Caenorhabditis elegans: one gene and its partner. The protein of the gene in region 2 purifies or fractionates together with the protein of the main gene of each other region. This does not show direct contact. Each region holds a gene or a part of one and is shown on either strand. Other genes may lie near its edges.

Region 1 (4,609 bases), on a different chromosome or scaffold from region 2:
AATTTTTTCGAAATATCAGAAAAATCGAAAAAACATTTCGATTGTTAGATTTCAGTAAAAAATGGAAAACCCGTTACCCTTGCTGGGAAACTTGGAAAATTCTGACTTATGAGCATATTTTTAAAAAATCTTTGGAAAAAAATAATTCGTTTTTCAGCCTGTTGATTTCGAAATTCTGGAGCCAAAAGAAGATATCAATGCTAACATCGCTGAGCCATCCATCACAACGAGGTCCGCCGCCGCACGAAGAAAAGTTCAAAAAGCTGATTAGAAAATATCAGATTGTTATTTGTTCTCTATTACCGGTACAGAGAGTGTAGATAGTTAGAGAGTGACAGACATCCGGGACCTAATGGGGCGGGGCGCGCGGAAGAGACGATTTGTGTCGATTTACGAAATAATGACAACGAGGAAAATTTCGTAAATCGACACAAATCGTCTCTTCCGCGCGCCCCGCCCCATTGGGTCCCGGATGTCTGTCACTCTCTAACTATCTACACTCTCTGTACCGGTAATATTATTTTTCGTTTCTTGAAATTTCTCTTTTACTTTTTATCAAACCTTTACGCTTTCCCTTATTTATATTCGGCTAATCATCAGAGGCCACGCAAAACTAACACATACTCAGATCTCTCACCCTTCGTCCCCCCAACCAACCCCAAGTTTTCGTTAGCTTATGCTCTTTCTTTTTTGCTCCGTTTTTTTTCTGTAATTGCCGCAACAAATTGAAACTCGTGTGAAATAGATTAGTAGTCTTTTTGTTTCCACATTTTTTCCATCGTTTTCTGTATTTCTCTTGCCAACACAAAAGAAAGAATTAATTTTAATCGTTATTCTTTCTCAGATAAAATTCTAGACACTTTTTAGAATGCTAATCTGACAATTTATGCGTTCGGCTTCTTCTCTCTCATTGGACCCTTGAATGGCTCGGCAAGAAAATCGGCCACCTGTGGAAGGCGATCCGATCCGAAAACTGTTTGAAGTACTTTTCCGTGACCATCAGTGATATGCATCCACGGAGCTCCGAAACACTGAAAAAAATTAATTTTAATTCCCAATTGAGAATATTATAAAACAGCAAAAAAACATTTTAAAACGACGCGCAAGCGCGCTCCGGGGCCAACTGAAAATGCTCCGCCCCTAAACCATGGGTCTCGTTAGGAATTTTGCGTTCGTCGTCTATTTTGTTATATTTTTCGTAGTTTTTGATGTTTTTTCGGTTGAAATAGATGAAATAAAATTATTATGATAAGTGAAAACGCCCTAAATTCACATAATTTTCTTAGACATCATTTCGATGTTGAAATCATTAAACACTTCGAAAAATATAACAGAAAGACTAATTCTAGAAAATTGTCGAGCCTAATCAAAAACGTTCAAGTTTAACGGAAAATACCTAACGAGACCCATCGTTAGGGGGCGGACCGTTTTAAATTGGTTGTGGAGCGTGTTTTCTCGTCGATTCCGTGTTTTTCTGGGTTCCTATAATAAATGACCTACTCCATTCCCGATGGCTTCATCTGTGTTTTCTCTTAAAATGTTCTTAACTTCTGCCGAATCACTCATCATCACCAACTCATCGACATCTTTTACATGCAAATCTCTCAAAACTTCGGCAACTTGACTTTTTGTGAAAATTGGTTTTCCGTATGCATAAAATCGATGCCAGAGTCCACGAGCAACGTCTTCCATCAAAACATTATCACGGAGTTGTGAAGCGACAAGAATACGTTGTGGAACGATTGAACTTGTGTTCAACATCATATTTGTGTAGTCCTTGGGAAGACGGAACGGAATTCCCCAATATTGGGCAGAGAAGAGCAAATCTTTGTGCATGTACTTTTCTTTGATAGGAATACGGAGTGGGAGACCGGGGTTTTCTGAAAACTTGCAGTTATATGATTTAGAAGGTACATATCAAACAACTTTCTGATGATTAGCACGATTCGAAAAAAATTTTCAAAACAATTATGTTATTTATCAATGCTCCTATACTTATAAAATTACCAAATATCACTTTTCCAAATGTCTCGAAATTGCTTTCAAATAGTCCTTTTAGGGACATTTGGCAACTTATCAAAACGTTCACTGATCATTTTGAAAAATCCTGAAATTTTTGGATTGTCTTATTATGTTAATATATGTCATGTTCAACTATTATAATGTTGAACTATTGTTGAACTATTTAAGTGTATTTATCTATTCTAGTGCCCTTCGTCAGATTAAAGCAGATTTTAAGAAGTAGAAGTAGCCGACCTTATGATATAAATAGATAGAGGTGCATTTTTTAGAAAATAATAACATACAGGCTTCTTAAGGTTTTGCATGTCCTTTTCCAGAAGTAAATTGAAAGCTTTTATTTTGACATTTCAAACGGAATTGTTAGAGGGTCATGGTTTAAAAACCTTACTTTAAAAAAGCTAATTCCATTTTTTTACGGATATTAGAGAAATTTCAAGACAAAAATACAAAAACTCACCAGTATGTCTGACAACACCAGCAAAAAAGAATGGTTTCATCTGAATTGGAGTCTTCCAAACGGAACGATGACGAGTGATTCCTTCGAATCCAAAGTAACTGTACGGAGAAATGACATCGAAGAAGAATTTGACCACTTTTCGGTTCGGCATTTTGAAACTTGAAGTCTGCAAAATTCATGAAAATTCAGCAATTATTTTAAAATTTTTCGACAAAAAAGCGAAAAAAAAACAGAAGCTTATGATTTTTCTAAACCTTAATGAGCTCCAGTACTAAAACAACTTGAACTACTTCGGGACGCTTTTAAGATTTCTGAAAATTCTTATTTTGTAGAAAAGTTTTTTTTAAAATAATTAGGCACGAAAAAAAAAAACAGCCGAATCACGTTGGCCAGACAATAATGATAGAGTTGAGAAGAAAGAAAAGATATTTGTGTAAACATCAAGGGAGGTACCAATGAGTTGATAGGAGCACAGACACGTGGTAGAGCAATTGGAGCATCAGCGGACAAAAAACAGAAAAAAAACAGTTGGTCTCAAGTCTAGTGAACAAAGTGTAGAATTGTTTGCAAATGACCACGATAAAAATAGATTTTGTTTGGAAAAAAACTTGGGTACTCTAAATATTTGATTTCTATTTTTCCTAACCGCACGTGATAACCAGATGTGCGATTTTTGAGCATTTAGTTGTTTTGGATAAAAGATATGAAAATATACAATGAACAATATTTTCAGGAAAGAAGTTTGGTTAAATGCTTTATGACTATTCCAAATACGCACAAAAATACCTGCCATTTCTTAATTGAACTTTTAACAAAACAATTTAAATGATAAAGGGAGATAAACGTAAATTTATCATGTGTGTACACCACCCAGCTCATTTTATGTTAGAATGTAGAATCGAGGGGCTAAGAAGGCACGCAGGCAGGCAGGTATATGACATACACGAACAAATGAGAAAAAATAAAATTGTAGCCAGTGTAAAAATGATCCGATCTTTTCACCGTTCAATAAAAACATAAAGGGCTGAAATAGAAACGGATGAAAACAACATTTTGTGTTTTTGAAATTCAGTTCTTAGAAGGAGATCACGTGACTCGAGGTGAGTGAAAAGAAATAAAGTGCAAACGGGTGAAAAAGAGGGAACAGAATTGTGTTGTTTGTTGGAGGTTAAATATGTACTTTGGGTTGTGGAATTGGGATTTCATAAAGTTCACGTTTCGGAGAAAAAAAAAAGAAAATGAAATAGAAAATAATCCGATTGGAATAATTTGTTCCGAAAATGTTCCGGCTTTTGGAAAAAACAACTGGAATATATTGTTTTTAAATTTAATTGGAAAACTTTTACATTTTATGATAAGTTTTCCAATTAAACTATATCTGAAAAGTTTAAAAAACAATAATGATGTGAAAACTAACAGTTCAGATCTAGAACTCATTTTTGTTTTCTTCTTATCGAATTCTCTGCCTTCCACTCGCAAATGTTTGCCACATTCTTGACTTTTGGTTCATAAAGAGTGCAAATTGTTTCAAAGTTTGAAGAAATAAATATTTTTAGTATCATTTATTTGGGTTTTGCATTAAGTTGATCTTACTGGCCCAACAAGGAAATTCAATTTAAAAAAATTGGCTATGAAATTTGAATCAACAATTGAGAAGTCCAAAAATAAGCAAAAATAAATAAGCAAAATTAAGTAAAAAAAAGTAAAAAAAAGGAATTTGTCATCGCGGTGATTCAAATTTAAATTTTTTACATGCCTTTTGTTATAAAAGTGTAAAGAAATAGAACAAATTGAAAGAATCTAGTTGAATGCTCGTATTGAAGTAAATAAATAAATAAATAAAATGCTCGTGACTGTTTCTCTTTCCGTGATATATACACCTTTAAAATAAGAGCGTAATAAGTATATTTTTTGAAGCCAAGGAAAAAAAGTTGAAAAAAGTGCCTACCAACTCAACCTTCAAAACTGAAAATTCACTGCCTGGTAGAAACAACACCAAACAACAAAATGATCGGTATCAATTCTCGTAGGTGTCTTATCAAAATCAACAATCAGAACAAAGAAACAGAAATAAATAAAAAATAAGAAGAAGAGAAGAGTGGCATGTCCAATAGATATCGATCTAGACAG
Region 2 (4,073 bases):
AACGCAGGATTCCCATTTTTGGCAAGGTCCGATGCGGCGGGATATACGAAAAAACAAGAACCAACAGTGAAATGTTAATTTTTTAAACTTTTATTGTCAAAAAAAAAAAAACCTTTTCGCCTAGTTTCAACCTTCGATTCACGCTCTGAAAAAAAATCTGGAAACATTTCTGGCCTCTTTATCATGTTCACAAAGTGATCATTGATTTAAATTTTATTTCATTTCCCAACTTTTGATTTTTTTTGTAATCTGAAAAGTGACGAATCAGTAGTTTCCCGTCATGCAAACATCAATTTGGATAACCTCCTTATCACGCAATTTAGATAAGAGTTACGTCTAAAAACTTTCATCATTACTGATTTTTCACTATTTCTAATCAGGAAATTAGACTGAACTTCTAGCAGTTTTGTTTCCATGTTAAAAAATGTGCAGCCGACAAAATTCGAGTCCATTGAGCTTGTACAAACGAGTGATTAATGCTTGAAACTTTATTCAGTAAAATCATTAGAAACCTGCGGAGACTGGATAATCAGATGATCCAGATGGGCCGTCCGAAACTGGGAAATCTGGGGTGCCAAATGGACCACCCGAGACTGGGTAGTCAGAAGTTCCAAAAAATGGCATATCGGAAGCTCCAGTTGGAGAATCGGAGAATGGCAAGTCGGTGGAGTAGGCCAATGGTCCATCGGAACTTGCGACTCCGGTAGCGTCGGAGATCGGCTCGTCAGTGGCTCCCGAAGCTGGATAAATTGGTGAATCAGATGGACCACCCGAGACTGGGAAATCAGTAGCTCCCGAAGATCCAAAGAATGGTAGATCGGAAGCTCCAGTTGGGGAATCAGAAAATGGCAAGTCAGTGGAATAGGCTCCGGTAGCGTCGGAGATCGGCTCGTCAGTGGCTCCCGAAGCTGGGCCATTTGTGAAATCAGGTGTGGACCCGGAACCAGATGGAATTGCTAAAACTCTCTGATTGTCTTATTTCAGAAAAAACCTTCTACTCACGAGTAAAGTTTTTCGGATCATAACTGCATACAAAAGGAAGCTCGTGGTGCTTGCCAATTGTCTGCCATTTTCCGTCAGTCGTATGTTCGGCAACATAATTGTTATCCTTCGCATGATTCATATTGAAGTTGCTCCAATACATTGTGGTTCCGTCGTCCCATTGGAATCTAGAGCTCGGAGTTGCACGGCTTAAACCGATCCAAAACTTTGTTGCGCCAGTTTGGCTACGAACGATTGCTGTAAAAGGAATTAAAGTATTTGGAAAGAATATAAAAGGCTAAGTTCCTCAAGCGCTATGTGAATCTAGGAGCCAGGTACGGTATTCACACTGGGCTTTTGGTTCAGGCCACGTTTGGGCCGGGGACTGTGGTCAATCATACAGTTGTGTATTGAAGGACTTGAACTCTTGACATCTAGGCTTCCAGTCCCCACCACTACCGACCGAGCTATTCCAGCCCTACCTATGCCTACTTGTGTCCTCAAAACTCACATGCTAAGAAGTTAGTTTGTAGAGTATTGTGAAGTACTGCCAAATTTTGGTTGTTCCCCGAGCAAGCTCGTTCGGCTCCGTCGAAATTCCGGGTTTCAGTGTAAAATGAGTAACATCTGAAAATTTGAAAATTTAAGAATTAAATCTTTTTTTTTTCCAAAATGTAACTTAAGAAAAACTTACAGATCTCCAATCAACTTGTCCTCATAATGGGCACATTGCCCAGCGACTAATTGTAGAATCGAAAGAGCTACCACTAAACGAAACATGATTTCCAGCTTGTTTCCAGATACACATTCTCCTAGTCATTGATCTATTTATGTAAAAATATTATCAGCCTGTCAGGTGTGATAAGCGGAGTTTGTAAGGTTGATTTGTTGGGTTACACCCTTCGGAGCACAAACTATTAAGGAAAATTGATGATTTTTCAGACTAGATGGTGTGCTTTTTGTAGCAGATAAGTGAGTACTTGATTATAAAGAAAAACTTTAAAAAATAATTTTTGATTTGATTTTTGACCCACTTTGATTTTTTGATACTTTGATATTTTGCAAAAAAAACTCATGGAAAAAAACGTCTGCAATGATAAAAGGTGGGCTACACTCTGTGGGGAAATTGCTTAAAAACACGCCTATGGGGTCACAATGACCGAATATTATGATAAAAAAATTCAAAACATTTTTCTAGATTTTATATGATTTTTTGAAAATTGGGAAAATCTCAGTTTTCCCTTAATTCCTATTTGGATTACCGCCAATTGAATTTGTTCGATGGAGCGCGCTTGCAATATTTTTATTTATTCCATGGTAGCACAGAAACTAGATGGATTGGTTCATGATACTCAGTCTGGAAACCTATATTGGCTACTATCTCGAAAACCATCACAAAATCGGTTTTGCTATGCATATAAGAAATGACCGCAATGAAATTATCTATCTTTATTTGTGATGAATTTTCGATTTTGTACTTCCTGGCCAAGTTATGCAAGTTTGTTCGGTGGAGCGCGTTTGCACCCAACTAGCAACTGAACCACCGTGATTCATTTTATTCATTCTCATTGTTTCACTTTTTCTGTCATTTCTTTCATTTTCCAATTAAAAAATCCCGAAAAGTGAAGAAAATCAGAGAGATAATGAGAAAAAATGAATGAAAATAATGCAAGCGCGCTCCATCGAACGAATTCAATTGGCGATAATTCGAATTGGAATTAGGGGATCACTGAGATTTTTCCAATTTCCCAAAAATCATTTTTAAAAAACTAGACAAATTTTTTGAATTTTTTAATCAAGATATTCGGTCATTGTTATCCCATAATCATGTTTTAAAGCAATTTCCCCAACAAGTGTAGTCCACCTTTAAAACACCTCCGACCAATTAAAAAAAATTGGCCACGCCCTTTGCGCAGCGCTGATTGGTCCCTAACTACATGAAAATTTTTACAGCTGTCCTTAAAACTAGAAAAATTTCTAATTTCGTTTCCATAAAGTTCTCACAAAATCGAAATTATTATTTTTTGTTCAGCTAATCACAAAATGCCATAAAATTACTTTTTCACCTGTTTCCCTCTGGCTCATACATCTTTCGTTTTCAAATTTCCTTTGCTCGCTTCTAGTTTTGAAATGAAAATACTGATTTCACTAATTTTTCTAAAGTTATCACTCGTTTCGGACTCCAATAAATTAGATGTATTTGGTGGAATGAACCATTATATGAAATTTTTGGAGGAGAATTGTGGTGAGTTCTGAATAATTGAAATTGAAATAAGTGTGTAGATAAATCCAACTTAAAACAAACATCTTTTAGAGCCGCATTGCATTTTTCCGGAATCTTCTCTCGCTAGTTATAATCTGGATCTATTTCCAACAAATTGCAGCACTGTTTGCGCAGATATCCTAATTGATGAAAGATCCAATTTGTCCGAATATCAGCTATCCCATGCATTTCAAAATATGAAACATTTAATTGGAAGCTTGGCAGTAATGTCGACAGACTTCAAAAGTGGCACGTTCCTAGCTTCACTGGAATCGGTGGAGTGTAGCACGAAAAGTCGACTTAAACCGCCTGTTGATATAATAGAGGTACTGGATTTTTCTCGATGTATTACCAAAATTTTTTTCCAGCCACAGTTTATGTGGGGCGACAACCACAATATGATAAACTTGGGACTTGTTAATCTAACCTCTATAGGTTGTTCCAATATTTATTTTCTGAGAAACACAGTTAGACTATTGAATCTTCCAAACCTGAAGGTAATCTTGAAAAATTGGAAGATAGCACAATGTACATTATGCGAAATGAAAAAAAACATTTTTAAAGGTGGAGTGGCGCCAGTGGAGATTTTGTCTAAATGCACTTATAATGATCCAAAACGACGAAATATCATAGTAAAACACTCCAAAAATTTCTCGATTTTTCATAATTTCCGGTCAAAGTTTTGGCAAATTGCCAAAATATTAAAAAACAAATGAGCTTTTGAGGAAATCCAAAGCAATGTCACATGTCTCGAGCCCTACAAATAGAAATAATTAAATAAAAATTATATTTTATATTAGAAAATTTTTGTTGTGGTCGACTTTTAAAA

Evidence for each region.
Region 1: the proteins of clec-209 (region 2) and gstk-2 fractionate together in Caenorhabditis elegans (co-fractionation; one large-scale study listed by BioGRID). This does not show direct contact.

What each region holds. Positions count from the first base shown.
Region 1 is NC_003282.8:7,239,626-7,244,234, forward strand, and holds gstk-2 (Glutathione s-transferase kappa 2), read right to left. Parts: upstream 2,646-4,609; 5' UTR 2,631-2,645; coding exon 2,480-2,630; intron 1,881-2,479; coding exon 1,501-1,880; intron 1,032-1,500; coding exon 885-1,031; 3' UTR 820-884; downstream 1-819. Other genes in the region: elo-3 (Putative fatty acid elongase 3), read left to right, coding at 158-271. UniProt on the Caenorhabditis elegans protein: Has roles in respiratory and lipid metabolism.
Region 2 is NC_003283.11:2,349,364-2,353,436, reverse strand, and holds clec-209 (C-type lectin domain-containing protein), read right to left. Parts: upstream 1,762-4,073; coding exon 1,676-1,761; intron 1,609-1,675; coding exon 1,493-1,608; intron 1,240-1,492; coding exon 1,003-1,239; intron 957-1,002; coding exon 505-956; downstream 1-504. Other genes in the region: Y19D10A.8 (Major facilitator superfamily (MFS) profile domain-containing protein), read left to right, coding at 1-78; irld-53 (Receptor L-domain domain-containing protein), read left to right, coding at 3,112-3,226, 3,296-3,570, 3,613-3,741.